Linked DNA regions of Drosophila melanogaster. The gene in region 1 interacts genetically with each later gene. Each region holds a gene or a part of one and is shown on either strand. Other genes may lie near its edges.

What was found.
Region 2: of esg (region 1) and ase, changing one suppresses a phenotype caused by changing the other (phenotypic suppression), as found in Drosophila melanogaster (2 studies listed by BioGRID).

The regions. Positions count from the first base shown.
Region 1 is NT_033779.5:15,327,276-15,343,677, reverse strand, and holds esg (escargot), read right to left. Parts: upstream 9,813-16,402; 5' UTR 9,585-9,812; coding exon 8,172-9,584; 3' UTR 7,540-8,171; downstream 1-7,539. UniProt on the Drosophila melanogaster protein: Transcription factor that can both stimulate and repress transcription. Binds to the consensus DNA sequence 5'-A/GCAGGTG-3'.
Region 2 is NC_004354.4:453,522-469,997, forward strand, and holds ase (asense), read left to right. Parts: upstream 1-7,225; 5' UTR 7,226-7,434; coding exon 7,435-8,895; 3' UTR 8,896-9,655; downstream 9,656-16,476. Other genes in the region: Cyp4g1 (cytochrome P450 4g1), read right to left, coding at 14,037-15,707. UniProt on the Drosophila melanogaster protein: Involved in the determination of the neuronal precursors of optic lobes in the central nervous system.

The DNA.
Region 1 (16,402 bases):
TAATTTGTTGTGTCATAAAATAGTTTTTATATATATAAATACAAACACATTAAATAGCTTTAATTTATGTATACACTTAAAAGGCAGTTAGGAAACTGACTTCCAATAGACTTACCAAATTTTGTAGATATTATGCAGCATCTGTATCTTTCGCTCAGTGTACCCATCGAGCCATCACACTCGGCAGCTGCTGCTGCATCTTTCGAAATCAGTTTTGTTTTTGTTGCTGATGTGCCACTGTGGCCCACTCAGCGGAATATCTTGAATTTGGCTCGAGCTCACTTTTCATGTTGATGGAGTGGAAGTCTTTTGGCTTTTAGAATTCTCCCCCACCGACCGCTGTTCGTTTGTACGTGAAAGAGGGGGGTACTGTGTGTGCTACAAAATGCATAAACAATCGAAACCAATTTCAAGCCCGGCTTTTTAGAGAAATGAAAAGAAAAATATATATGAATTGTTTGAAATCTCTAGCCCCCGGTTTTTGTTTATTGTTCTGAATTTAAATGAACTCAAAGCTAATGTAAATATGGGAGCTCTGTTTGCCAAAAGCAACTGTGTGTCGAAATCTAAGCATATGGGGCATTTCATAAAAAAACAATTGAATACAACCCATAATTAATAAGTGATTCGATATGTAACTTATATTCATTACACTATATTTCAAATAATTTTTAGATGTTTGAGTTGTGAGTTAGAATCATCGGTCTGATTAGATACTCAACATCATCCAACATTTTTCAATTAAGTATAATTATTTGTCATCTATAAACTATTGATTTATCTCACAACATTTTTGTCCCACTGTTTACCGAAATACCAGACATATTTTCAAAGCATTTGAATACCTGTGGGCCAAAAGCATCGCAACCTCGACCCCGGCCGGTAAATGAGTAAAAAATTGAAGAAAATACAAAAAAAAAAACCTGAGACAATTAAGCTTAAGGAGCATTTCATTTCATTCCATTCGATTTCGATGCGAAGAAAGTTCAGAAAAGCTAGCCGCCAAAGAGAAACCTCTGGCCCAGGGCTGATCTACAACCGATGGATGGCTGGAGGTTTGAGGATGGGACGCCAGGTGAGTGGGCCGCTGGGTGGTGGACCAGTCTTGATCTTGCGGTTTTCGAAGGCACTTAGAGCAATGGACCTTGAAGACCACAAAACGTAGTACCGCAACAGGGACAACAACCACAAGCAGCTATCATGAATCATAGGAAAGCATTTGAATTGCAAAAGACTGCCCAGATATATACATATGAAAATAGTCCGCAATTGTTTCTACATATATTGCGGCATAAGTGCAGAGAAAGAAATTAATAGCAATATAATATAAATTGAGTACCTCTGCCATTAGTTTCTCCCATTTAAAGATGGTACTAATCAATTGCGAGTATGATTTAAATATATGTAATAAAATATTACTAAGCTCGTTTAAACTAAGACTAACATTTTAAAATCAACTTTGAAAATTGCATGTTTAAAGAGTTCTAAAATAAAACTGAAAGTTTCCAACACTATTCGCAGTGTATGAAAATAGCAAACGAATTTTAATGCTCTTTTTTCTGAATTTTTTAGCCTGCTGCTCTGTGTCTTTTTGACATTTACGGATCATAACAATTTGAATTTAACATACGCAAAATGAGACCATTTTTGGTAGCAATGCCCCAGGGCATCAATTTGGACATGTGCCGAGTCGATTGTTAGGAAATATATTTTAAGTGGCCGCCAGCGGCAGAGAACCGAATGTGTCAAGAGGGGCAGAAATGTGGGACCCAAGAAGTATCTACATGTGTACATTCATCATAATATTCCGAGAGGCTGAAACTTCTCACAGCTGAAATTCACACGTATGTATGTATGCATGTAGCTCCCTTCTGTTTCAAGGTGTGTTCTATTAATCAAAACTAGAGTCCTGTTATGCTGAAATGGAATGAAATGGAAAATTAACATAAATTATAAGCAAACATGACAGGGCAAGATTTCCACAGCGCATCCTGCCGTGATTTTCCAACGGTTTCCACTTCCGATTTGGGACCAGAATTTCCCATGACCCCAACGAGATTTCGATTTTCCCGATGATGCCCGCTTGTCAGCGCTCATTCCCAGCATATAGAATCTGGATCCCAAATCCGAAATCCCCTCATCTTTATGCATGTGCACGTCCAGGGAAAATCAGTGCGAGGGTGTGGGGAAATCCCAGGGAACAGGTTCTTTTTCCTGCCTTGATTTTGATGTTTTGTACTTTTTTATCTCTGCTCCTTTTTTTTGGTAATTCGATCCGATGTGCCTGCAAGGAAGTAGAGCACTGGGATCTTTAGCATATGAATACCATTTCGGCTGTTGCCGGTGAGTTCACTGCACCTCGTCTCAAAGTCCGGAGATCCGTGTGGGAGCAGGATCTAATATTTTGTATCCCAACTTTCTGTAGTTTTGATGAGCCCCTGACATCGGGGGTCAATTGCCGGAGGAGCGGAAGGTGAGGGCCGCCAGGTGGGGATTCTGGAGATCGGGAGAAAGGAAGTCGGAGATATGGAAATGAGACAAATGAAGCGCGATTCCCACAGGATTGTAAGAGAAACAAATACATAGGTGCTCTCAAAATAAAAATCATTCTAAGCGCAGGAAATTATGTAATCGATACGAGGAAGTAGTGCGCAGTATAATGAAACAATATAATAAAAACTAACTTATTCACACAATAAAAAGTGCAATGCAAAGAATATAATGATAGTATTTATGTGCGTATTTGGCATAGTTTCTTCTTTTATAATGTCTTTAAGTAATGAGTTAACACTATTCTAATGACTAAGCCAGTCAGCTTTATTGCGCACTTATCTTTAATCAGCATTAATCGATTACTTAGCTTCTTCTGTTTAATTATATAGCCAAAGTTTCGTGTAAGCGGGTCACAACTTAATTAGTGGCTGCCGAATGAAATATCATTTAAAGTTAGTTACTTGAGGTTAGTGGGCTCTTCACCCACAGCAACCGTAAATGTGGAAGAAAGTTTGTTTTTCGCTTTAATTGCCAGCTGCAAACTTTAACGAAGATTCATTTATTCTGAGCCACGGGCAAATAGTTAAAGCCGAGCCTTATAGCCCATGGCCTATAATCTATTCATGTTGATCGAGCAAACGCATTCGCCGAAAGAGAGGGGGATAGAGACAGAGAGAGAGCGGGTGCATTTCACACAAAACGTGCAAATAATAACACCATCTCCGCTAATGATCAACGCCATGTTGCATCCCCTCTCCTCTGACTAACGTAAAACAGCTCACGCACACTCGAAAGAAAGGGGGGAAATACAACAAATGAGGTGGCAAGAGGACTAAGAGTTCTGTTCATTTAGCTATGTCGGGTACTATATATAAACAAATTATAAAACTATTTTACAACATTTACGAAAGATGATCTTCAATACTTTAATTAGCATTGCATTTATGGATAAAAAGAAATGTATGACAGTAATTTATTCACCCAATCCTATATGATCATCAGAAATTTTTTTAATTATTGTGGATAGTCATATAAATATGTTTATATTCCCCGCTAAAAATAGCTATATCTACAGCAGCACTTTCGCACAAACACCGAAAAGTAATGAGTAAGAGCGGTGCGGTGGAGGAGAGAGTGGGAAACAGTGGGCACTTGCAAACAGACAATAAAACGCGTTAACTGCTGTTTTGCCTGCCGCAATTGTTGAGCTTGGTCTATCCGCTGTCCCGCTCTCACCTGTTGCGACGTACCACCCCCTTTTGCTCCCCTCACCACACTACTTTTGGAGCACGCAGAGCCACTAACTAATTGGCCGAACCAACAACAATTTTCAGCCAACGTCGTCTCTCTCACTCTCGCATTTGAAGATGATATCGTTGTCGTGCAGCTCACGCACTCACCATTGCACTCACACACAAACATACAGTTTGGCCCCAACGTATCTCCATCTCTCTCCCACTGCCTCTCACTGTGGCGAATAGAGTAGGCCCCAAACACAAAAGCAGAAAACACTTGCGCTGTTGTTGTTCGCTCACTCAAATTAGCTGAAACTGTCAAAGAATGCACATGATAAACGCAAGGGGGGTGTTGCGGAAGGGGCTGTGCGAGACGGAGACAGCAAGTCCCATTTGTGCATTTCGTGCATCTCTCTCCTATCTTTCAAACAATGAGATTCTCCGTATGACAGCTTTTCTTCTGCTTTTGCAATACATTTGGACTAGTTAAGAAATATTTTGCATATCTCGGTAGGAAAAATCTGATATCTTCTAAGCGTTAAGAAATTCAGCAAAAAGATTTAATTTACGAGGTTACCATCTATGACTTAAATATAGCATTAATCCCTATTTTAAATATTTCCACCCTTTTCGTACATTTCAATGGGGGTTATTTCCCAAATCCGACTTTGGCAATCGCGCAAAAAAGCACACTTCGTTTCGTCGTGACAAACAAAACGCTCACGTTTATCGCAGACAAAAGATCTGCGTTTTTACGCTAAATTTCATTTCAGTTTGCGCTTTTTGTCGCTCGCTCTGACTCTTCCCTCTCTTTCGCGCCCCTCAAAAGCCATCACTTACTGCTCTGGATCGATCGTCTATATTTGTGTGTGTGTATTTTGGCTTTTGTTTGGAAAGTTTTTCATTTTGGCTCGTTAAAAAATTTGAAATTCAAAAAAAAGAGTGTTGGTTTTTTTCAATAGACAAATAGACAAAAGGGTGACGCAGGTGGTGGGTGGCTAAGGGGGGAGGCTCCTCGGCTTGTTTATCTTTGCATATTCATAAAGCTTCGATCTGTTTACCTTTCTGCGTTGCCGTTTGACTTTTAGCTGCTTTATTATGGTGCAGCTCACTTTTTTCCTCGCGAAAATCCTCCGTTTTTATCAGTGACACCAAGTGGAGGGATATCACGTGGTGAGGGGGTGGGGATTGGGAGCTGTGGGGTTATGGTTGCCCAAAAGGTGGAGGAGCAGACAGACAGCTGCAGTTGCGAAAAACGTCAGGAGAGTGATATTTGTTTATTGTTAACGAATTGAAGTAAGCGATGGAAATAGCTAAAAAAAAAAACAGGGTACATCAACTTTAGGATACTATGCACTTTTAAAGTGGAATTAAGCTGGAATTGGTTTATATTTAATTGAAGTCTTAAATAACTTATACGCTTATACTTATCAACGATTTAATATACCATAAAATTCTAGGTAACACAACTTTTGAAAACACTAATTCTATGTGTGCCATATTCCTATAGTACATAATCCAGCTATAAAATTACGAGATAAATACCTATGTAATTCCCAAAATTCCCCGAAAAAGGTAACAAAATCTTGAAAACTTACCAAAATCCTTCGAACGCAGTTCATTGAACCCAACCAGATTCATCTATCGGAAATTTTCCCACAAACAAACCGAAGGCACAATATTCATTTGCCATAAATAAGTCACCAAAAGCCAGGGTCCCCAAAATCAGTCAAATTGTCGACGGCCTAACCCAAAGATCTTCATCATAGTAACCCCAACTGGACCCGCTACCCACAGTCGAATAGCTAGTAAAAAAAAACAAAAACAAAAAAGCAGCCCAAAATGCAGCGATCAAGCGCGAAATTTGGCACAAATAAAATAAAATAATCAGAAATAAAAACCCAATGGGCTGCTTTTTTATATATCTATATATATTTTTCATTTTTGGGTAGGGAGAGGGTCAAGCGAGGCAGTTAGCCTGCCGTTTTGTTGCTGTCCATGTTTTGGGCCATTTTTTATTTCATTTTTCTATTTTTTATTCGCTCTCGATCTTTGTTATCGAAAGCCAGACGAAGCCAGGCGAAGGCACACAAAAGGCCCTAAATGCGCGTCTATTTTGTTACAATTTAAGACGCTTATTAGAAATCGTTTGCAAATTGTTTAGCCAGCTAGCTGGCACGAACGATCGTCGTTTTGGGAGCAGAGCTCCGATCGACGAGCTGCGCTTTTTGGGGCTTACTCTGGTGCTGAGGGCGCTGGAGAGACCGGCAACTTGGACCCTGTGGATCTGCAGGCTGGGTAACCCGAGACTGAAGCAAGCCGCCGTGGAGGAAGTGGAGCCACGAAATGCGTGCATATTAATTTTCGTATATTTACGTTGGCCCGATCCATCCGATTGGGCTTGGATCCCTCTATGCACTGAAAAAAGCTAAACTTACATTTCCACAATGTTTGAAAAATGTAGTAATAAAGTTTAAAACAGATCTGCCTTCCATTAACTATGTCTATTTAGGTAAGTTCGAATGGCTTTGCATTAATGATGAAGAGATTAGCAAGTTAAAAATGTATTTATTCCTACCCTTTTCGCTCAGTGTAGCCACGTGAAACTTGACTAAGACTTGTTGCTGCCGTTGCCGTTTGGGTTTTGCTGCTTTTCTAGCTGCCTGATGATCTAATTTGGCAACAATTGTCGTGGTCGTCGATCGCTGATGCCGATGATCGCGGATCGACTGGATCGGCGGATCCCCATCCCCAAACCCATGCCAATCCCGATCCCGATCCCCACACACATGTGTGCGCTATTTGTGGGCCTCTGGAGCAGGCTCTCCTCCGCCTGGCGATCGATTGATCTCGATAATGAGTTTCGTTTCGTTTCGTTTCATTTCGTTTGGCTTCAGAGGACGCACCCATAATTTCGTATGCTCTGTCACCCGAACGATACCTTACCGTACGATTATGATTTCCCTGCGCTTTTCCGCTTGGCTGGATACTGGTAGGCATCGATCACACTTGATGATCTCCGGGCCAAGACACTATTTTCACTGCTCTCTCATTAAGATCGCGTCTCATGTCTAATACGACTTTTTGGCCGGGGCGCGGGTCTACTGAGGCTTGAAGTTTGATTTAGTGACTGCCATTTTGTGCTCGCGTCGTACGTGCACCGAAATTTAAATACATACATATACATATGTAATTTATGATCAGTCTGCCAAAGAAAATGCGCCTTACGTTTGCTTCACTGGGCGGGCCATAAAATGTCGCGAATGGCTGGATTGGGTCGGCTCTTATTTTCCGATCCACTCAATTCGATTTGTTTATTTGTTCGAAGAAGAAGAACATGACCCAATAAAACCAAATATGTGGCGAACTCTGGAAGAGACCACTCACGATCATTCTAGATTCCATTGAACCTTCTGCCGGAAATAGGAATTGACTTTTAATTGAATGTGGACAATAGAAAATGTGGTCTAAGCATTCAACAGATAAATATTTAAAGGTTGTATATATGTACATTTAAATATGTCAAATATTACATTAGCTGACCAGAAATGTTATAAAGATTTAACCACTGAAGTTGATATGAAAATACCATGCTTAAATATGATTAAATTAACAATGTTTTGGCATATAGGAGTATCAAATTAAGACTGTTTCAAATATATGTATGGTATTGTTAACATAATTACCGTATATAGAAAAATAAAAGATTTTTTCTAAGTTTGTGTAGAACGACTTGCATATTATCCTGAAATAAAAAGGTCCCAAAGCCCACCCATTAATGAAATAAAAACGTTTTCAATGTTTTTTTTTTGTATGTAAATAAAATGTATTTCCTTCTTTCTTCGCTTGATGCAATAAATTACTTAGAATTACAAAACATTTTCGTATCAAAATATATGTATGTGTTGTTTGCTTATCTTCACTTAAGCTACAGTAGAACATTTTCAATGTGTACGCGAAAAAGTAGTGGTCATATCAAAAATAGTTTACGGTTTTTACAGCTAGGCTAAAAATACTATCGTATAAAATATAGAGATGTATGTCTTGCTTACGATTGATTGTCTGGCGTTTCATTTGTTCAGCTTAGAGTCTACAGTTAGACATAATACATTATGTACAGGATAAATCGAAGAATACTTTACAAAGTTCATCTTTAGGATATATTATGGGCACACATTTTAAAATGGTTCAAACTATTCAAATTGGTGGTGGTGGTTACAAAAATGTTGCCGGATTGTACAAATTAAAACGTAATTTTTAATTTTCTCTCTTCTGGGAGAAAATGCTGACTAGAAATTAAAAAACAAGTGAAATTCTGCTTGAAGTTGTGTGTCTGCACTGGGAGTTTCGGGAACTTGGAGCCGCCTAAGAGAGCTAGGAACTAATTTTTGGTGGAACATGGCTGGGATCTCAGCTATATAATGTATATATAAATATATTGCCTTACGGCTCGGCATAGCCGGCGTAGTTGAGTTCGCTGCTGCTGGAGGATCCTGCACTGCCGCCAGGACATCCGCCCTCTGAATGCTTGGTTAGGAGGGACATCCGCGAGAAGGTCTTCGAGCAACTGGTGCAGGAGTACTTCTTGATGTCCGAGTGGGTCTGCAGATGTGCTCGCAGATTCGAGCGATCTGCAAAGGCCCGGTGGCAATGCTGGCAACTGAAGGGCTTCTCTCCCGTATGAGTGCGAATGTGTCCTTGCAGCAGCCATGGTCGCGAGAAGGCCTTGCCGCACAGATTGCACTTGCAGGGCAACGTGTGGGTGCGAATGTGCATCTTGAGGGCACCCAACGAAACATAGGTCTTGTCACAATCCTTGCAGCTGAAGGACTTCTTCACCTGATTACCCTCGGCGGCCGGGCAATGGAACTGCTGATGTTTGGTCAGCCCGGAGAAGGTGGAGTAAGATTTCTGGCAATCCGGGCACTGGTAACGCGGCGGCTGGTTCTTGTCCTTCTTGGCGGAGGCATTCGGCATAGTTTCGGGCGACATATCCCCGGTTTTGGCTGCTGCTTGCTCTCCCGGCTGGCTAGTGTTTAGATTCAAGTTCAGGTTCTTGTGTTTCAGGGATAGATCCTCGGGCAGCGAGGAGCTGCAGCTGGATTCAGGCGTCATCGATCGCATGGAGTAGTAGGAATTCTCGGAATAAGCCGGCGAGATAGGCGCATGGTGATGATGGGTATGGGTATAGCCGCCCAAGCTCGGATAACCGGGCATCTGTGGATAGGGCAGGAAACGGTGCTGCCGCACGCCGATTGGTCTATGGATGATTTCAGATCTCATGGGCGGGGAAACGGAGCTTGCGCGACCATGAAGGTAATGATGTGGTGGCGGCGACAGGGAGCCCAGCGAGTCACTCGGCGAACTGGGCGCAATGAGATCGCCACGCAGCGGCAAAATCTGATGACCCTGCTGATTGATGGTCCTGTAGAACTCGGCGGTGTAGGGCGACATGTGGAAGTTGTTCCAGGGATATTTCGGGTATGTGGGCGTGGGCACAACCACGGAGGCGGCTGCAGCGGCGGCCACAGCTGCGGCAGCAGCTAAAGCCGCAGCCTGGGTCTGATTTGGGTCCGAGTCCACATCCACATCGACGTCCTCGTCCTCCTCCTCGATGTGTTCATCATCTGTATGATCTACATCCACACCCTCGTCCTCGCAACAATCGCTGACGTTGATCAGTTCCTCGGAGGGATTTTCCTCCAGAATTTCCATTTTCTTTACGCACAAATCCTGCGGCTCATTTGGGGTGTTACTGTGATTTTGAGGCGCCTCGAACTGGTAATTAACTGGGCGCTTTTTTAGCGGGCACTTGCTGTAGTTTTTCTCCACCAACATGTCTTCCACGGTATGCATTTTACTGGCTTTTTATTGATAGTTTACCGGAATTGTTGTAAAATGTTCTTAATTTTCGTCACTTTGTTTTCAGTGTGTCATGTTCACACAGGCACAAATACTCGATCGATGCACAAATACCAAACGCGTGTTCCGTTAAGCAAAGCGATTGAATATCGGTTATATTTCGGGTATATTGCGTTGGGAGAGATGGTTATGTGAATCGGTTAGAGTCTGGGAATAACTGAGCGAGTTTGGCGGTGGTGCGGCCTTTTTATACTGCCCCTGCACTCGGCACTCGGCTCATTACACGAAGCTGCCAAAAGAGAACGCTCTCTCGGGCGTTCCGCCGAGAGTATGCATGTTCATTCAGGTATATGCGTCGACCAATCGCGGCACTCGGCTAAACAGGTTTCGCCTTGTTTATGTAGAATTGCCTCACGTGCCGAACTCGTACACTTGCACCAATCGAAGCCGCAAACGAAGCGATGCCGTTATATTTGCTCTAGTGTGGGCCATATATTCAAATATGTTTACCTGTGTGCATCGTGCTCTCCGCAGCTGCTCTCTCTCGTCCTCTCTGCATTTGCATTCAATGCGCAATAAGGAGATCTATGATCTTACCTAGAAATTTAACTAGAAATTCGAAAAACCCCACTTTTGGAGGATTAGCGAACAAGGGTTTCCTTTTACCTCATTATCATTATCAGGTGCATCATTAGTTGACTTAATAACTGAAACGCAAAAAACATGGGCAGGTACCCAACATAAAATACTAACATTTTTAGGACACAGGGCGATGCATTAATGAGCAGGTAGACTTCTGCATCAATAAAATGTTTTTTGGCAGGAGAAAGGAGTGAACGTAGTAATTGTAGTCACTAAATTTGTTTATTAACAAGTATGTTATTGTACGGAATCAAAAGTAACCAATATTCAATCGATTTTGCGTAAAAAGTTTTAGAAATATTGTATTCCCCGTTTATAAGTAAACAATATTAAATATATTAACATCTTTCATTATGGATCCTTAGGAATATTTATAATAAATTAATAGCTTTACTACTTCGGCGTACTAATATGATTATTCTGTAATTCATCATTAGATAATGATATAGAATTTTTTTCTGCGGGCATGTTCCGGTAATCGAATTGGCGAGAATTTTACGACTTGGATTTGATTCGATTTTGTCCAAATACCCAGAAAAAATTTTAAAAAAATAGGAAAATTTCTCAGAAATACAATACGGTAAATATACAACTAGAACGTTTAGAAAGAGCCAAGCTAAAATTCAGTACGAAAAAGAGCATAAGCATTCTCTTTAAGCCAATTGCTTCTCTTCACTCTCACTGTTTCGATTCCACTTTGTTTCTGTTTCGCTCTCGAAATTTTCTCTTCGATTTGAAAAACGTTTGAGGCGCCAAAGCCACTAAAGGCTGAATTGTACCTTTTTGACAAAACGGAGAGAGATATTTAGTTTCTGTTTTTTTTTTTATTGGGTAACACTAGGCTATATCTTTACGATACCAAAAATTGTGGGCGTGGTCCGCCCCTTATATTTAATTTTGTTACCAAAATAAATACATATCTTTTAAGTAAAAAGACATTTTTGGGATCAATTTTTGATTTGTACTCTTAATAGGCCTTCTTCTTGCAAAGTTAAGCAAACTTTGGTTAAGCAAACTTTGTAAAGGCACCTCTGCTTTCGTGCCAGACACTAAAGAATTATTTAATCGGCAATCTTTCTTTTTATTTGCAGCACGAGGAAAAAATGTTTATTTTTTGTTAACTCCCTAATATATTGTTCTTTGTTACATTTTGATCTAAAATAAGGGAAATGCACGTCGTTGGCAGACATTTTCTCCGCGACATGCTGATTTATTAATGAAATTTTGGCTTTCTCAGGGGATTTCTCGATTAATAATTTAATATTCCCTGCCGTCGATTATGTTAACCGTGCGGGATTTTTTTTTTTTTTAAATTTCTGGTACGCAACACTAAAGTCTAATCTTATAATAACATAATGACGTAATCAAAACTTAATATTACGGACTTTTTTGGCCACAAAAAGGTACCTTTCAGCCTATAGTCCATAGAAGCGATTTCAAAATACACATATTTATGCGTTCTTGAGATTTGCGGGAGGGAAAGGATCCATGTAGTAAACAACTGGTAAACAATTAAGGAGCACGTCGAGATCCTCAAGTGGAAACCAGCACACACATGCACGCTCGACACGAAGTGGCAGATGTGTGGCAACAACACCCAAACAAACAAACAGCGAAAGTGTTCACCCGACAGATAAGATAGTAGGTGTGGCCCCCTCCTACCGACCGATGTCCAATGGCAGGACATAAATCAAAGGGAAGCAAACCACGCCAATTTCTGATCACTTACCTGGAATCACCGCAATACTGAAAACAAATTCATTTATTAAGGAAGAAAGTTATTTGTAATAGTTTTGCATAGAAATTAAATACGTTAAATGAAATACTAATTGTTAAACAACTAACATAAAAACTATAAGCATGCATGAAATTTCAGCATGTCAGTATAATGCTATACAGTTTACAACATATTTTTTTCAGTGTAGAAACCACACACAGTTGGCATTTAACTTAATTAGCGTTCTTATCAAGCATTTGTCCCTGTGGCAGGGCGACTGCTGTGCCTGTGAGGACTCCGATCCAGATGCAGATCACTCCGTTGCACAGTAATTCCCAGGAAGCAGACTATCCGGGCGCAAGTGCGATTCCACTGAGATTGCCAAACGAGGAACCCAAAAACCGCCAGCATAAATTAATAGATAAACATGTGCAATTCTACAGGACAGGTTCGAGTTTGGCGGCCAGTGATGACCATCTGGATTATTTTTCTTCCAGTCGATTACCTTTAATCAATACATATTAATAAATAAATACATATTAATATTTCTCAAAAATATTTATTTTAAAATATAATAATTAGAATTTTGACATTTAATTATATTGCTTCCAAAAATACCTTTTAATAAAATAAGAATAAAATATAAATTTAATAATAGCTAGTTTTTGGAAATATCCCTATAACTGTTTAGCTATTTTGGCCACTATTTGCGATCTGAGCCATGTTCTTCGATTTACATGCCATGTCCAGGTACTTTGGGTATGGATATTGAGAGCAGCTTGAGTCCCTGGGTCTGGGCATCTGTTATCTTATCGCACGTCGTTGGCTTGGCTGTGGTTATATGGCCAAGCTGCCCATGACGTCTCCTCTAAATTCGCCTTAGAAGTCTGGTAGACGGAGTCTCTGTTGCCGTTGTCTCTGCTCGATAGGCTGTTAACAAAGATTTAATGATCTTGTTAACTAATTCGTTTTTTTCTGGCTTCGTTCTTGACGCTGGCCGTAGTAAAAGTGGTCGGGAGTGGGCCGGGAAAGGACCACCCACCGACACAGCGACTATCCATCCATTCGACCGCTGTGCAAGTTAATTAGTTTGCGTTTGTTGCCGCTCTTAAATCACACTCGAACGGGTTTATTGCTAGGAATTCCACGCCAGCAAGTGAGAGTGGAAATTGGAATTACTAATAAAAATATAAAATAAATTTATAATAAAAATACTAAATTTAAAATAAAGAAAACAGACGGTGACACTATCCTCCAAAAGATTTGGAGGATAAATATATAAAAATTGTATTGTTATTTTAGTAACTATGTATTGGAACTATAAACTTCACGCTTAAAACCACTAACTTAATTTCAATATGTTCAGCCCCAGATTTGCTAAAAATCAATCACGAAACTTGAAAATAGGTGACCCAAATAAGCAAACCGCAGACATCGTTTCAGAATCGCAGCCAATACGCATCCCTTTTTGCCTGCCATAACATTTTGGAAGCGTGTAAAATGGTGATATTTAAGCGATTTTTGGATGTTGCAACATCCCAGACACGATCGGCAACAAAAACAAAAAAAAATCCCAACCAAATTAAACAAAAACAAGACGCAAAAGAGGCCAAGCCGCAACAGGCTAATCCTATTTTGGCGGCAATGAAAATGGAACAAAAATAATAAAACTTTTTTACGACAAGCTCTAAAAAGCAGAAAAGGGTTTCGGGCTTTCAGCGTTCCCAACCGGCTCGTACCTCTGTATTTTGATCTTGGTCTGGGGCGAGCAACAAATTATTAACGACATTTTAAATGCAACGCCTCCCGCCTGGTAAAAAAAAAAAAAAACGAAGCGAAGGGAAAAAGGGCCACAAACCACAAGTCGCCCGATGACTGGGCCACGATTTCTGGATGGACTTGGACATGGACATGGACATGGACTTCGATTTCCAGCTCGATCCGAGAACTCGACTCCTTGCGGCTCGACACGAAGATGCGACGCCTTTTAATGAGATTTGTCTGAAGACATGAAAAACTTTTGTAATTCCCCTCTTTTTGCAGGACACACGGCAAAAAGCGACAAAAGTTGGCACTGCAAGCAAGTTTTTGGTCCTAAAACTATGTATTGTGGCCATAATGTTAGTGAAAGTAATACATATTTATTGTATCGAAGGTTTGGCAATTGTCTTTTCTCTCATTAGATAACTAAATATTTTTTATTAGCTTGAGCCAAGTTGAGATTTTACGAAATAATTTTATTTGCAGTGTATATAAACCGAGAGGAATCACTTGCCCCAACGTGTGGCATTAACAAGTGTGTGCTGCAAGTTGTGCTTTATATTTTATGCTCTGGCTGTTAAAATTGAAAATTACTTTTGGCCAAGACGTTCAGATCTCGAAAACTTTCGAGCCCTACCGCATTTGAAAGCTGAGACAATAATTGCAGCGGGAGAATTACAATCGAGCATTTTTATTATTGCCACAGCAGACTGCGTCACGGATCGGATCTGTGTGGATCTTCAGTTCGGTTAAGTTTCCAATACCAAACCCAATTCCAGGCGCATTGAAAGTGCGTGTGGTTTGTTGTTGCCCCATGGGCTTTTTGTTTAAGGTCTTGGCAAATGAAAGTTTTCTCTTCATCGATGCTGCAGGACATTATGTTTGATTAACGAAACGCAGGTCGAGTTTTGGACTGTTGTAAATAAATTTTACAACCTTTAATGCTGCCACCCAGACAACGTAAAAACGAGAAGCAATTGAAATGTCTGAATTATGTTTGCTGAATTATTGAATTATATAGGTGGTCGGATACTACATCCTACATGCATGTAACTGAATGCAAGTACTTAATTACGTCAGGAGAAATTTATTTTCATTTCGAAAAACGCAATAAATGTTAAGCAGAAACTTCAAGGGATTTAAGGAGCATTGCATATTATTTAGATTTCTTAAAATTTACAATATCTGATATGATTTCGAAGACTGAAATATTGATTAAAAGAATTTGTTCGATTTTTTCAATCGAACAATGTTCAAGCCGATGCCCAACTCATTTTGGCCCGCCAAGTAGCCCCACACATTATAACAACATTAACTTGAAGCACATCGGCTAAGTATAATGCATGCCACGAGCATAATGATGCACTCCCCAAAAACTGCTTGCCAATGATGATGGAGACAGCGAAAATTATTACATACGGAGCGGGAATTCGGCATGAACATGACGCGCGATGCCACCATAAACCGGGCGATAACCTGGTCCAAGCCGTGGCCCAAACCATGACCCACTCGATGAGCAGGAGGCGGCAACGGAGCTCCATTCAAAACAAAAAAAAAAAAGTATCATATGCAAAAATTGTGGCACAGGGGGGCGGAGGCAGCCGCTTAATGGCTGTTAGTTTGGCCGGCGTGCCTGTGGATGCCTCTCCTCTCCTAACCACCATGCCCACCAAAGTGCCCAAAACTTGCACGGGAAAAAATCGAAACTAACTGTGGCACTTTAAATATAAGTACTTCAAAATATGTAGTACATTTCTAAGGTGTTTTAAAATCAAGAAAGAAAAAAACAAAAGTTTGGTTTTTTTTTAGTTCCTCTTGCTTTTTTCCAGTGCATCCCCATTTGCAATCGCAAAAAATGCACTCCAACGCTATGGTTTCAACCTGTAAAAATGTATAACGACAGCATTACGCTCGTGCCACCAGCTGGAACTGTTTTCTTCATGTTATATTATTTTCTCGCTGGGATGTTGCAACGCCACATGGGACAACGGTACACTCCGCGCAGGTTCAGTTGGGTTCACAAAGCCGCAGCGCTCGATCTGATTTCTGTCACTGGTCCACCCATCGTGCCCCGTCCACAGCTGAAGGAATGCTCTTGGAATTACAAAAAAACCTATATTAGCGGAAAAAGCTGGAAATATTTATAATAAACTGAGGATGATAGTATTATAATAATTTTAAAGAAATGTATATTTAAATAAAAAAATCTAAGTTAATCAAATTTAATTTTTTGGTAATGCTTTGTCTCAAAAAATGTAAGCTAGACTTTAAAGTATAACTAAGAAATTACGTGGACGATTCCCCTGCCAATGTCCACTGTTAACTTGCCCTATACAATAAACTTTTAATATTGTAATTTAAGCAGTTAGAGGTTTTTGCGGCTCTGCTTTTTGGTCACATCTTCTGTCCTCGATCGTGGAGCTTCTGTTGTTTTTGGGATGTGATCTGCATCAACCTGCTCCCCTGCCATCCAAAGTGGCTGGGTTCTTAAAATCACAACCAGGTGCGGCTCATTCAGGCAGACATAAAGGATCCCGGATCGGGGGGATCTCCTATTGCATTCGAGCGAAGCCAGCCACCGCAGACATTGTACTTCCAGGCACTTGGCAGATGCCGGGGTGCAATTCAAATTAGTGCTCCGGGGCACTCGGGATACATTATCCTGTGGCACGGTGATTTATATACCGACAGG
Region 2 (16,476 bases), on another chromosome or scaffold:
AAATCGATGGATCGAAAGTGCTGTAATAATTCGACTCAAAAACAAATAGTATTACTTAGCAGGAGAACGAATAAAATTAAGTTAAAATAATTACGGGTCATAAACTAAAATATAAGATAATAAAAAGCTCATTTATGTTTTGTTTTATAAAACTATGGATTTCTATCTTTACCGAAATCTGTACATTAACCAACACCTTTATCAGATCAGAAAACGGGTTAAAAAAATATCCCCTCTGCCTTGTTAGTCCTTTCGCATTGCTTACAAATTTCTCAGAAGGTCTAATCCTGTGAGAAATTGCATAAAAAACCAAACGCGTCAAAATCGCAAAATTCAGTCGAACATCACGAACTGAAATTTTGCAGCTCGAAAAAAGAGGGGAAATTCATTTTCCCAAAACAAACGTGAGAGAATATACAGGACCAAATGAATTCCCAGAAGCTGGGATCCGTGATTATTTTATCCCATTTTTGTGGCTAAAGCCAAGACAATGCAAAAGGACGCAGGAATCGATGATATATCTTATTGACACAGGCTGAGGCACTCTGAATAGCAATAATGCAATATTTGCGCAATATTCCTGAGCTCTGCAACTTTGAAAATGTTGTGGCTGCAGCTCGAAAAAAATTCGCATTGGCTGAACAAAACAGAAGCCCTTTTCGTGAGGAAAATAAACATTATTTCAGACAGAACCGTCTTCCCTACCTTCTTCAAATGGGCTCATCCAAATGTCCTCATCCTGTTATGTTATTAAATTTCTTACAGTGCACTGCAGTCCTTGGATTTGATTCTATGCCTTGTAAAAACACCCAGCATGTGGGCACATTCAACCGGCAGAACCCAGGATTCAGCCAGGCAAAGTCAACACAAACCGAGAAAGGGAAAAGCAAATATCACGAACTATTGGAAATAAGCAAGGACGAACAATGCGGGGGGAACAATTTTAATTGATCAGAAATACAAACAAGTGCAAAAAAATCACGCAACAATGCCAGAAAGAAGTTTTTTGAATGGCCAAGCATGCCATTGTTTGCTTGGGGCGTTTGTCCTGTTCCTTTTCATGTTTTGGGTAAACATTGATTCTTCGATTCGAATGTCCAAAGAACAGGGGAGTGATTTGATTTCAGGACCAGTGGATTCATAAAAAGACAAGAGCTCTAGTACCGAAATTAAATTCCATGAAATTGCCAAAGAAAAGGAGTTTTCTGATTAATCTTTTGGAAATAAAGGACTGCGAAATACACAAAAAACATCAAATGCATTTACACTTCTTGGAAAGCAACTAGATATTCTATTTGCGAAGAAACAATTTGTCAACTTGTTCTGCCTAGATATATTCTTTAATATATAGGTTTGCGTACATTTTTTAATTTGACATCTTTTTATAAGCTCTTGTAACTAAGAAATTTTAAAAATTGTTGGCCTGGAAGGCTTATTTATAAACATTATATTATATTATTATAAGCAGCAGCTGGCAAGAACTATGTTTTCGGTAATCTTATCAAAAGACTCATATTTTTCCCCTAGAAACGAATGTCGGTCACAAGTGTCTTATCAGCGGGGAGTTTTTTGGGCCACAGGCTGCAGTGCAGTCGTTGAACATCCGTAGAGTCCTTGTGTGCCGCATGCCAAAAGTGCCGTACCAACGTACCCAATGGTTGATGTCGACAGAATTTAAATTACTAGCTTCGGCGGACTTCAATCGCTGTGTAATCTTGAGCTGAAATTTACTTTTGACGCATTTCGAGCAGCAGCAGACAAGTCCCACTTAAAGGATCACTCGAGTGCATTTAAATCCTCGTCGGAGCCAGATCCTTTCGGCTCTGCCTAACCGCAACTTACCGACCAAAATCAATAGTTTGAAAAAATGCGGAATTAAGGCAAAAGAACTCAACGGTGCGTAAATTTTTCTATTTGCCAATTTGCCTGATAGCAATTGAATGAGTTTATAAGTAGGCAATCAACGCTGAAAACAAATCACGAAAAAAGGAATCAACGAGACATCACAAGAAACCTAATCATTAGTATAGCATAGTAGTCGAAAAGGGGTTACACATAATAGAAACAGAAAAAAATCGTCCTTCTTTGTTGCGAAAACTGCAATTCAACTTCATGAATTGCAAAAGTAGGTTAAAGCGGTTCTGCAAAGGAAAGATATGGCTAAATTCCCTGGTCTACTATTATCCGACTCAACAAATCTTAAGCAGTATTTTTTAAGTGCTGTAGGCTTTTCATATCACAAAGCAGAAAAGATCTTTAAGAATTTGATCAATAAATTGCCCTTAGAAAATAAACATTTTACAGAACTTCATAATATAAATCTCTTAGACTCATTTTAATCCTTTCAGGTTTTTTCTTCGGCTACGACAGCATCCAATACAGCTTCCTTATTACAATGGTTCAAGTATTCAAAAAATTGTTTTCATATTTAAGCAACCAAAGTAGTAGTAGAGTAGAAGTAAAAACCTCCTAGAACTTTTACCATATACCAATCCGGGGTGGGGTCCGACCCAGAGTCACCGCCTATCCAACTAGATGGTACAAAGGCGGGACGCAACCAGTTCAGCAGACACCTGCGACTGGCACGGCTTTAAGCCTTAAAAACTGGCAGCGCGTGCGGTCAGCGGGCTTGCAAGTTGAAGGGGTTGTTAAAATGGTACAGGATCGTGAATTTCAATAAGGTAAAGGGGTCGAGGGGATCGAAGGAACTGAAGACACGCGCTCAGAAATATGTCTGTAAAGCCCGAGTGGGCAAGGTTATTTTTTTTCACAAATTAAAGAATGTCGTTCGTAGGGCGTAGATAACTCGTGAGCTGTTTAATAAAAATTGTACAAATTGTATTTTTTCTAGTTAGTGTGGCTAATAATGTATACTCTCGCATGATATTTTTAGTCAGAATTACGTTAAGTGCATGTATATCCGATCATCGTTTTAGGGAAGTGTGTGAAGAGTGAATTTTGACAAATTTGCATTGCCGCCGGCTTTGAATCCTTTATAAAAAACCGTTGCGCATGCGCATCCCACTGCCCCGCCACCGCCCTCTTTCACCAACGCCAACAGGTTTCTGAACAATGACTTCCACCCTCCCGGCATTTAATTTAATCGGCTACTCAAATATAATTTTTATTTCACTCCCGATTGTTCACAAAAATAAATGTGCTCATTGTTGCCGTGTTTGTAGAAAATTTCGTAACCAGTTGCAATCCTGTTGCTCCCGATTCTCGAGGATTCACCCTCGAACATAAATCATCGGGCTGCACAACAACCCATATGAAAGTGCAAGGATGCTTTTACGTCGTCCTGGGGTCACGTTGTCATCACATATATATGAAGTGAAAAATAGTTTAGGACTACATAGTTTTTAAAACTATGTAAGAGGTGTACGGATCGAGAGAACTACACAAATTCAAGCCCATATGGATTGATTCACGAGTTCCACCCACAGGCTGAATTGCCGATTTTCAGGCAGCTTTTGCTGTTGGTCGAAAGTTACCAGCGATCCCTAACGCAAACACCCCTAATCCTGCCGGAACTTAATGCCCAGGACCTTCCTGTTGGCATTGTTTGCTGGCACAGGGGTTGCTCTAAAGGGAGCGAGACAGCAAGCGTAGAAAGAGATCTGAGTTCAATCGCAGAGCAGAAGAGACGAAGGGCAGAGCTGTTGAACGATTGCTGTGCAGCAGGAGCAGATGTTTTTCGCGGCAGAATGACGATGCAGGATCGCTGGCGATCAGCGACCCCAGCACGGGACACGATACATACGGAATATACGGAGCTCTATGTATATGAACATAACAAAGGGCATTAGAGCGGGAAGGGGCTAACGACAGGGAGCCAGAGCAAATGCGAGGGAGATCCACAAAACTTGTTTTTGGGATAAACTCAAATTAGACCAAGAAATCATTTAACGTGCAATAGAAATTTCGAGGTATGTACGAAAATGTAATGTTAAAAGGCCTGCCTTAGCTATAAAATATTTTCTCATTTTTAACGTATGCTTAAATGAACATACACCGCACATATGTACATATACTCTTAGCTTTTCCACTGTGTATTGCCTAAATTATAGTCCTCCCTTATGTACCCTTAAGCCTCGAGCGAAATATGTCCAGATTTGATCAGGATCGATACCGGATAAGATAGAAACAGCACCTAGCTCAAAAGAGAGGGGAGCAGTAGGGGAAGAGAGTAAGCGAGAAAGGAGATGAGAAAGGAAAAATGAGAAGCCAGGTGAGGGTGAGGATAATTTATTATTGCTCGGATACCCCCGAAAGCGCGCCAAAGGTCCCCGATACCCTAAAATCCAAAGACCATGCGTTTGGTCGAAGTGTCCCCGACACACAGAGAAAACTATACAACACGTACGCACTCTTCGACTGTTTAAAAATGGATTAATATAAGATGGTGTCCTTAGTTAATATAATAAATATATTACAAAAATATAAGTGTTTAAAAAATTTGAATAATGCTTGTAATATTAGATATCACTATAAAAGAAGAAAAGACGTGCCAATCCGGCTACAAAAAAAGATCCATTACAAGAACACGACGACGGAATGCGTATTTATTTCTTGCATGATTCACCACATTTATTTCAAGATGGTTTTTTTCTGTGTAGGATCTCAGGTAGAAGACACACAGACACTCACTCACATTTATGTAGAGCACAAGGCACGTGCGCGATCTGAAAACAATTTACCACTCCGATCAGCGTGAATTGTGAGTTTCACTTTAAAGTCGAATGCAGTTTTTAAATAGAAACTCGCTATTTCCCCATGTATTGTTTAAAAGAGGTATTAAAACAGCCCGCACCCGCTCATTTTTGCTGCAAGGACGGGACACAGTTTGCCGCTAAATAAATAGCAGAAATGATTCGGGAGTAACTCTTTTCCTTAATTTTTTGGCTAATTTTATTTAGTTTATAGTTAGAAAGAGTTACATATCTGTACACCGGTCACTTGTAACTCGTTCACGATCCGATGGGGGGAATATGTAATAATTAGAAGGCATCGTCACAAACATTTCCTTAAACAATGTCCCAAAAATGGTGTTCACCCGTAGAGCGAGTCCTTTTGTGTAGTTCTCGGCTGGGGTCCTTTCACTTTTCCCCCAGTGCTTGACTCCAAAGTTATTTCAAGGACTTCCACGGAAAGACTTCCGTTCCATCAAGTTTTCAACACTCATAACTCGAAAGACGAAATAATAATATGAAAAAACAAGAAGCGGTAAAACAATTTATGAACGAACAACTGTGCACAGATGCTAAATGATGAAGCATCCTAAAGGATCCACTTGAGTCAACGACGAGTACACACAGAATATGGGCCCAGGACATATTCACCCGGCGCCTTTCTCCGGTTACAAAATGGAAAAAGAAGAGGGAACTTAAATTTTGGAAAATCAAAGCGACTTGCATGCGTTGGCAGATTGATTTACGATTTTGGAGGGTCAAGCCAAATAGAACGACTTCAGGTTTCAGTAAATCATGGAGGATCCAGTATGTTTCCACGCTAGCGTCAATTCCGTTTACTCATCTGTTTCATTACCATTTGGCGTTTCTCTCGTCGAAAGATATTTTCCCATTGAAATCAATGCGTTTTTAAAATGCAAATAAACCAGAAACCAGAAACCATTCATAAATTGTATTTGCCTAGATTGGAACATTTCGATCCGCCAAAGATAACAGCCAAAAAAATATATAAAAAAAAGAGTGACAGGACTACAACGCAGGTTCTTAATTTTACGAACGTGGGAGTAAATTCGAAAAGGTATGCCGCGTCTTGGGGCAAAACTTTTTTGAAACCGTTTACATGTAATATTTTTGGAATCGCTACTTTTATGTATGGTTAATTTAATTATGAACTATTTTCTTGCAGTGCACGAAAGGCGTGGCTGGGGCAAGGAACAGTTCCTTGAGATGAGTGCTGCGATGCGTCGTCAAAGTGGGACGCAACCGAGTCAAATCCTCTAGGACAACAAAGGACGCCGAGCAGTACTTCCCAGTACTCAAATACTCCTCAGTACGCACAAGCGTTGACTCCTTTTTCTTTGAGAGCTCGTCTGCATAATGAGGAATGAGGACGTGGCATCCTGGATCAAAAACCGGTAGTCGGTCGTCGCAAGTTTCTTCTCCCCGCCGGTTATCCTGCGCTCAAGTCCTTTTCCTTGAACCTTTTAAGTGAACTCAAGTTTATAAATTGTGCAGCAAGTACAACACACACACATATGTATACTCCTCTATTTACTCAGGTTTGTTGGAAACTACCTGAGAGGAAGGATCAAAAAAGTTTATTGTAGCACTCGAAAACTTGTTTGCACAGATAGACCTAAGCTCCAAAAAAAAGAATAGATTATAGAAATAAAGCACTGGTAAAATTATTTTCCCACCGGACTAATTGCCAGAAATTTTTTGCCAGACGTAGAAAAAACAAGAATGTAGAGAAGGATGGGTGATTTCTCACCCCTTAAAGGATTTAAATTGGCTCTCTGGCATCTTGTCAATTTCCAACATAAATTGTAGCCCTGTGAATTACCTAAGACATTACTTTCGCAGTATATACTTGCTGTTTATTAGCTTAACAATAGGAAAATGTTTTTGCCAATGCAAGTCCTGGTAAATATATGTATATATTATCCAGTACGAGTTTTTGAAAAGTTAACAATAGGTGATCCCGAGACATTTTTCGAATGAAGTAGAAACCAGTCCTTGGTTTTAGCTATAAGCTAAAAATAAAGATTCGATGCATTTCTGCGTTTTACATGACGAATATTGGAGGTCTAAGGTGATCTATTAGGATATTTTGCAAATTCCTAGGTGGTAGGGCATTCCTTGAAAACCAGGGCTGAAAAAGCTCCCCAGGGAATATACTTTTTATTATATGCATACGTATATGGTTATTATAATGTCCATATATTAATAGGGGCGGTATATAAGCATAATGTGTTTGCTGCCGATAAATAATGAGAGAGAGCGTGGCGAAATCCACCCTTGAACCAGGTGGACTTTTTGGCTCGAGTTGATCAGATGTTAGTTTTCCCAAAAGCCGTACTGTATATAATATATATATATGATAAAGGTGTATGTGTGAGCGATCGAGAAGGGACACCCAGTCTAGGGGATGAAAAGTCAGGCCCTTTACATAAGGGATACGCAGGACCTCAAATGCCTTCTGTTTTGTATGTGTGTGCTCTGTGTTGTGTATGTCAGTCAACGAAGTCACTTCCGTTGGGTTTGCGTTTTAGTTTGAGTTCGGAGTTTAGGGGCACGCGACACAGAGCGCCAGCAGCTGTCCTGATGCAAGGACACGGAAACCATATTACATCAGTCACCAGTTAACATTCACTCAAGAAGGACTAACTTGCTAAAAGTACACCCGCAATCGCCACCAGTTTTTCTCCCGCCCTCAAAAAGCCACGAATCAAAAAACTTAATTATGGCCGCCTTAAGCTTCAGCCCATCACCTCCTCCAAAAGAAAACCCCAAGGAAAACCCCAATCCAGGAATAAAAACCACGTTGAAACCTTTTGGAAAGATTACCGTTCACAATGTTTTAAGTGAGAGTGGCGCCAACGCCTTGCAACAGCATATAGCCAATCAGAACACCATTATTCGAAAGATCCGGGACTTTGGCATGCTGGGCGCTGTTCAAAGTGCCGCAGCCAGCACAACTAACACCACACCCATATCCAGTCAACGGAAGAGGCCCCTGGGAGAATCCCAAAAGCAGAACCGGCACAACCAGCAGAATCAACAGCTTAGTAAAACATCAGTGCCTGCTAAAAAATGCAAGACCAACAAGAAGTTGGCGGTTGAAAGGCCCCCAAAAGCAGGAACTATAAGCCACCCTCATAAAAGCCAAAGCGATCAGAGTTTTGGGACTCCTGGAAGAAAGGGTTTGCCTTTGCCACAAGCCGTTGCCCGTAGAAACGCTAGGGAAAGAAATCGCGTGAAGCAGGTTAACAATGGATTTGCTTTACTCCGGGAGAAGATCCCAGAAGAAGTATCTGAGGCTTTTGAGGCCCAGGGGGCGGGTAGAGGAGCAAGCAAGAAGCTATCCAAAGTGGAGACCCTCCGCATGGCCGTAGAGTACATAAGAAGTTTGGAAAAACTGCTGGGATTTGATTTTCCACCTCTCAACAGTCAGGGGAATAGTTCTGGTTCCGGCGATGATAGCTTTATGTTTATTAAGGACGAATTCGATTGTCTGGATGAACATTTCGACGACTCGCTGAGCAACTACGAAATGGATGAGCAACAGACTGTCCAACAAACTTTATCCGAGGATATGCTAAACCCTCCGCAAGCCAGTGATCTCCTGCCTAGTTTGACTACATTAAATGGGTTGCAATACATCAGAATACCAGGAACCAACACCTACCAACTGCTGACGACTGACTTATTGGGCGATTTGAGTCACGAGCAAAAACTTGAAGAAACAGCTGCTTCGGGCCAGTTATCGCGATCGCCCGTGCCACAAAAGGTGGTAAGAAGTCCCTGCTCTTCTCCAGTTTCACCTGTCGCCTCGACTGAATTGCTGTTACAGACACAGACGTGTGCCACACCGCTGCAACAGCAAGTAATCAAACAGGAATACGTCAGTACCAACATTAGCAGCAGCAGCAACGCACAGACTTCCCCGCAGCAGCAGCAGCAAGTTCAGAACCTGGGATCGTCGCCTATTTTACCCGCGTTCTACGACCAGGAGCCCGTGAGCTTCTACGACAACGTAGTCCTTCCCGGATTCAAGAAGGAATTCAGCGATATTTTGCAGCAAGATCAGCCCAACAATACAACCGCTGGCTGCCTTTCGGACGAGAGCATGATCGATGCCATTGACTGGTGGGAGGCACATGCACCTAAATCTAATGGTGCATGCACCAATCTGTCCGTTTAGCCGAATTTTTTCACATCACGCATCTCGGAAAAGCCGATTGCATTTTTTGGCATACTTTTTAAATGATTTTAAATCCTCACAGCATAAGTCTGTGGCAGGCCATTCTATCTAAAGTTTTTTTTAATCAAGCCATGACTGAGTCATTGTGTAAATATCAATTTAAGCCGAGAAAGGAGGATAACTTCGGCCAGCCGAAGCTTATATACCTTTGCTGTTAAAACCATGTATTTAATATGAAAGTTCGCACAATTTCGATGAAGTTTATCACAAATTTACGATTTCATCAAGATTTGTATATTCTCCAAATTCTATAAAATATATGTACATTTTTGATTCTTGCTATGGTACTTGTACGTATGATATTGTTGATCGATCCTGCCCGAGTCACCTTTTATATCACCAGACATGCCGATCATGAATATTTATTGATGTGGGGTCGGAAATGCCTCACTGCTACCTTCAGACATATTATAATATCCTCTGAAAGAGTGTGACAAAATGAATGTATGAACACTACATATTTAAAGTCATCTAGTGATATAAACCAAATGGAAATAACCTTGTAAGACCCAACCACAAAATAGTTATCCTGATAAACGGCTTAATGTTGAGCCGGACTAACAGAGTGTCTAGTATATAACAAAAATTAATGTATTTGTGTAACCATATTTTTTTTTTATAGATTTAATTGTAGGAACGTTAAAATGACAAGCAGATAATATATGCTTTTGAATAAATGCAAATAAATATGAACATTTCCAAAAACTTAATTTGTTTCTTGTGGTTTTATTTCTCAACGAAAATTAGGTATATTAAATGACAATTTATAATTTGTACCACATTTTAGAAAAAAAGGTGTTTTATATTTTAGAGAGTGTCTTATGGCACAGTATATCTCCGGTGCTTTATTGACTCGATATTCAAAATGGGGTTCCTTCTGTGACAGAATGACAGAATTCGGATTTTTTTCTAGCGGTTCTTTTTTAAACATGTGCCTTGATTCATAATGACACAAGTAATTAAAAACGCACCAAAATAAATATTAGGGAAATTGAGAGAAAGCGGTTTTAGGGTGAACTATTATTTAGGACCTAACCGGCAACCGCAAATCAAACGAATTGCTTTTAAAAATAGAGTCTAGTCTGTCTGTCCTCATAGAAGTCAAGAAGTGAAAAGCCAAAACAGCTTGAAATTCCAATAGCGGCTACAAACTTGAAGTTGTTTTAAAACCTTGTCATGCTCACCACACAGACCCTCATTAACATTTGGAAAATATTTTCAATGATATTTAAGGGAATGGTAATATATTTTTTTATACAAAGTTGCCAAGCCTTCACGCACGTCTTTTATTTTGCACGATATTTACTCACCCTCACTTTTACTTGGCGCTATACTCTCCTGCCAATTGTGCTCAGGACTTCATTGTCCTGTGCTTACGTGTTCTCATGTCTCTCTACCCGTCCCTTTTTTTGGGACATCTGCCCAAATAAAACAAAACGGAAGAAAAACCAAAAAAAAAAAAAAATAAGAAAGGGCCGGTCCAATGGATATGGATGATGCAAAACTACATAAGACAGGCATACTGTAAGGAAAATCAATTGAAATCGTTTTCCATTAAGAATAGATGGCCTGTGCCAAATGATATTCGCATCTGCAGGATCCGAAAACCAAAGAAATCTAAGTAGTACACTGAGGAAACAACACGATCTATTTTGAGGTCGAAATTACAAGGCGAGGCATTTTTTCCTCCATTACTATTTTTTTTTTTTCGCTGTGTATATGTATGTGTTGGCGCGCTCCTGAGCGCCTGAGATCGCCTGCAACCCCCTTTTTCAACAGTTTTCAGTTTTTCCATCCAGGTGCAAAGGTGTTTTCCTATCATTCTTTTTTTGGTCGTGTGGTGGGTGCGCCGTTCACCGTTAGCAGTGAAAATTGTTCACGCACCGTTATAATTATTAAATATTGGTAATGCGACACGCCCCTCAACCGTACACCTCCGAGTTTGGGTCGAATTTCGCATTTTTACTGTTTGAACTGGGAAATCATTGCCGTTATGTGCGTCTTTTTGTTGTTTGTGTTTTTGGTGAATGTTAAAGGCTTAGCACCGATAAGGAATATGAGCCCTATCGTATCCTTCGATCGGCAGATTTGCTTTCGTAGCTCTGGGTGCTGCAGTCGCTTTAAGTTGTGCCCCCATTATGCCATTTAGACCACGCCTCTATGAATGCATTATTACTGAATGCCGTCTGTTTTTAAGTTCACTTTAGCGTGTGCGCATGCTCTTGCCGCTGACTTGATTGGATTCACCCCTACTTCTCTGATCCACTGACTATCCAATTTCTGGGCACATTGCACTGCAGTTATCCCGGGAACCAGATGCTGCCTTTGACCCGCCGAATCCGAGTTGGCTCGATGGATCTCGTAATTGAGATAGGTGACACGAAAAAAAAAATAATTTCTTCGAATTTTAAATCTTTAATAATTTTTGGAAAACCATGTCATCTAGCAATCATTACCTTCGCTTATTGTATATTCAAAGAAAACGGTAATGGTTTTGAGGTCTGATCCGCTGATCCCCAGTAACCAGTTGGCAAGGTTATATTTTCATTCAAGGATTTCATCCTTCCGTTTCATTCAGCATTGGACCAAAGAGAGACTTCTCTGGCAAATAGTATTCGTAATACTGTGTCTTCCGAAACTAACTGCCGGTCAAGCCGAGCTACTTAGACTTAAGCAGATACTTATACTCGACGGCTTTCAGTTTTTCTAAGTCCTTAAGTGGACGTACTTCAACCCACAATGAAGCACTTAAGTGTGCGCTCCGCGCTCAAAAACCCTAAGCGGGTCAAGAAACCAAGTCAAAAAAATAACTCTGGACAACCGTTAAAACCCAAAGCGGGTTAACACTTTCTAGTACCTCCTGCGGTTCGCCTAAGCCCTCTCCCATAATTTTCCCTACTTTCTACTTCAACCATTGATGATCTGCGAATTGCTAAACAGATCTGAGCCAATTCCATTCCATTTTATTTCCACATCTATACACATATTTCGAAATTTTTAACCACCATCAATTTTCGTTAATTGAGCCCCAAGCAAGATGCTTAAGGATAACACATGTGACTTTCGTCGTCCAGTTTTAGAAGCAATAAGCGAGACTGCTCCCTAGGTCTGGTTGCACATGTTTTCCAGGACATATTTCTAATGTCACTGAATCCACGTCGGCCTCATACCCTGTCGTCCTAGGACTATATTCCCATGTTTTGACTTACGCACCCAGGGTGGCCACTGGGATTATTCTAAGTATGAAGTACAGTATCGGCATTGAGTCACCAGGCTCAATTGTATGACAGACACAATTTTTACTCCCGCTCACTCCAGGGAGCGGTATTTTGTCAGTTTTGCATTGATTGAGATGTCCTGGTATGCAGCTCCTCGTTTAATAGTTCTTTGTTTGGCCTTACCTTCTCTTGACTATAAATGAAGTTGTGTTGGGGAAGCAATACAAGGCCACACATTCCATCCCAAACATATCCCTTTAGAAAATGGCTTTCAGTACTCAACTTCGTTTGATTGCAATGACCACCCATTACGGAATTTCTAAAGAGACTATAAAAAATCATTTTTACCGTTTTTTAAACTATCAACGAGAAATGCCAAGGAATGGCAAGGCAAAATCAAACTGTGTCAGTCTCAAATGGTAAAATATCAAAACTTTAGGTACACGTGCGAGTTTAAAACCGGCGGTCATCAAAGTATATCCTGGAGTGTCACGCATGAAGGACATAGACCACAATCTGATATCCAGTTAGCGTGTTTGAGGAATTCCGCCATAAAAAATAGAACGAATGTGCACAAACTTCCGGATGCCCAAAGACATTGGATTGGGTTGCAGATCCGCAGGTAGTGCCGCTATTTGCCTAGCGCAAAAAGGACAATGACCAAACAGAATTTTGGTTTTCGGGACCTGCTTCATGCCCCTTTTTATGTCTGCCGAAGATGCTAAAGAAGGGTTCATAATTCAAATGCAGCAAGGCAGGAAATACGGAAGAAACCGAAAGGATTTCCGTTTCGGCTCGTTACGTTTTGTAAATTGATATTCGGCAATCGATTGCCTAAAAAAGGGAAAGCCGGCTTCTAACGGCGGAATTCAGCTAATCACAAGAAGAGAAGGCTAACGAATTTCCGATACACCTCCTTTTCATTGACCGCGAAACCCGCGATAAACTGCTACCGATTCCGACACAATAGCATTCGCATTTGTCAGCATCGCAATCTGCATCCGATTAATCGCATTACAAATCGCCCATCGAATGAGGTGTCGACTTAAGATCAGTATAATGCTAACAAATATGAACAGGTACCCAAAATGCGAGCGAAATAAAGTAAAACAGAAAATACCTTGCCAAGGACAGCGGCCTGAATCAATATTATGACATTGCCAGCAGTTTGCAAACCGTCGATTGCCTCGCATTAGCGCATTAACTTGTTGATTGGAAAACCGCAGAATCATAAGCCAAGTCGACTTGTTCACTTGGTTTGTCTATCTGCATTCAAATTTCTTATAGTTTGGCATGTTAGCCAAGTTCGTAGAAACTACGACCGCCCAGAAGGAGAACATTACAAGATGTGCAATTACAATTGTTTTGCAGCTCTATCGGCTACGTGCCTCGCATACGTGTATTTTTCATATTTTTTGGGTTTCGTTTAAACCATTTGACTTAATAAATACTAGAATAAAGAAAAAAAATCACACTACATGGCTACGAAAAAAAAGTATAGATAGTGGTAAAAGTAGGAGTACTAAAAAGGTGAAGAGCACAAACAGTTGCGTTGAATAGTTGGTTAAAAGGATATATAGTATATACGTATACATTATATAGGGGCACCACTCGCTAAAGACCAACAAACAAAAAGGTATTAATCAAATATAAAAGTAACGAGTTAAAAAACGAAAGAAAAATTAATTGACTCTCTGGCTGGCTTGTGCGTTGGGTTCTTATTCGGTGTTTTAGATTTATAAGTTCGTCATCAAGTTTTCGGTTTGGGATATTCATCGGTATTCATCATCTATATACAGGGCTGGATTCCGGTTTCGGGTTCGGGGTTGCGTGTGTGTAGTCGGGGTCCTAGATTTCTGGATTCTAGGCCACCGTGGCGTACTGACGCTTCTCCAACGAGACATTGAATCCATTCTCAAGCTTTAGGATGATGTCAGCCTGCAGCTTGAAATCTGCCTCCGTGTCGGTGGAGTGGACAATATAGTTCCTCACGATGGTGGATAGCAGGACCTTTAGCTTCAGCATGGCGTACTTGCGGCCCACACAGCTTCTGGGTCCAGCGCTAAAGGGAATGAAGGAGTAGTAATGCCTGTTGGCCATCCTCTCGGGTAGGAAGTTGTCCGGATCGAATTTGGTGGGATTGGGGTAGATGTCTGGACGTCTGTGCACGCAGTACTGCAGCACGATGACCGTAGTGCCCTTGGGAACCGTGTACGGACCACTGGCCAACTTCAGGTCGTAGTCCAGACGCCTGGCGATAAGTGGTACTGGTGGGTACAACCTCAAAGTCTCTAAAATTACGCGCTCCAAATATTTCATCTCCATGGTATCGGCAAAGGTGCAATCCCTCAGCATATTATCCCCGAAGATGGCCTTCTGTTCGGCGAAGACTTTAGCCTGGATGTCCTTGTGGATTCCCATCATGCAGAGGGCGAAACTAGATCCCGCCGAGGTGGTATCGTGGCCCTCAAACATAATTGTATTCACCTCATCCATGATGTCCTTCTCGTTCCACTCGATATCGGGGTTCTTAGCCATTTCCACCATGGCATCTAGAAGAGCCAATCGCCTCTTGGCGCCCACATCATTTTCATCGATATCATCCAGATCATCGCGAAGACCCTCCTTCTTGGAAGCGGGAGTGCTGGCAACAGGTGTAGAAATCTCCTCAACAATCGCACGTGACTCCTCTTGGAAGTTCTCCTTACGATCCTTGACCACCTTGCTGGTCATACCCAAGATGATGTTCATCATGCGATCGCCCTTCTCGCGAAGCTTAGTAAACTTGTAGATGGAATCCAGGCGGTACAGTAATTTAACCTGCCTCTTATGTATGATATCACACATGTCGACGACGGCTTGGGCGTATTCGAAACTCTTGTTACCCTCCGGAAGCTTCTTCACACCCATGGCGGTAGACAACAGGATGTCAACCGTGGTCTGCGACATATAGTCATGAACATCAAAGGATTTGCCCGCTTCTAAGCCCATCCTGGCAACTACCGCCTTTGAGTGATCCACAAATGTAGGCACGAAGCTCTTCAAGATGCTCTGGTGGAAGGTGGGGGCAATCATCTTACGATGATGACGCCAATGATGTCCATTGCTGATCAGTAGACCATCACCGAACCAGGGCTTGAAGTAGCGATACTCCTCCGCCTTGGTCAAGTGCTGGTGCCCACTCAGGATCAACTCGATGTCACTGGGATTGGTTAGAAACACCAACAGGACGTTGCCCAACCAGGCCTTCATGGTTTCTCCGTACTTGTTGAGGTAACCCAAGCCAACGGCCAGGATCTCGGCATTGCTCAAGCCGGCGGCCACATGAGCCTGTCCCAAAATAGGCAACTCCGGTGGGGATGGTATATTGGCAACCATGCGGTATTCCCGGCTATTCCTGCGCCAATACTCGTACAATGCCATGGCCACCAGGGTGCCCACTAAGGTGGTTAACATAGGACTGAATCCCAGGACCGTCGTCGACGAACTGGACGCCGCTTGTTGCAGCGTCTCCTGAACTACTTCCACTGCCATGGTTGCTGTTGCTTCTTTGCTCCTGATCCCTGGTCCTCTGGTGCAAATCCTTTTTGTCTTCTGAAGATGGCACTGTTGCTATATCAGCCGCCAGTGCTCAACTGTGAATCGCCATTGACCACATGCAACATTTTATATGGTTCCAAGAGTTCTGGGGCCACTGGTTGAAGTCAAGCATATGCCACTTTGATTTCCAGTCCCACTAATTAGCAAAGCAAATCAAAGTCACGTACTCGCTTGCGGTGATACCTTTGGAACCAATGCCTGCACTGCGTCATTGTAGATCCGTATAAGCAGACATGACTGCATTTCGAAGTCCGTGGTTGTCTTTGATTTTACGTTTGGTATAGTATATTAATTAAAATCCTTTCGTGGTTCCATTTTAAAAACATAAACATTGAATCCTAGTATTAGGAAACATTATTTGCACTAAATAATAAAACATTTATAACACTATTTGAGTTCCTCCATTGGACGTCAGTTCGTTTAAACACCTCAACAGCGTAAAATTCTTTTAACGAACTTTTTAGTTCCGTAGTTCTAAAAATAGCTATTTTTTGCGAAATTTGCGACACATTTGAATGAAAAGTGAATGTGTCTACTGTCTCTTTCACCAACCCTACTTCTTGCGGATGTACGTTTGATGCCAGGATCTAGAATATGCAAACCAGCCATTGGCTGTTCGGCTACCTGTATTTTACGGCATTTACCTGCTGGTGAGCGGAAGTGGGTGATTCTTGCCTCGCTTCCTGACATTTTAATGATATTC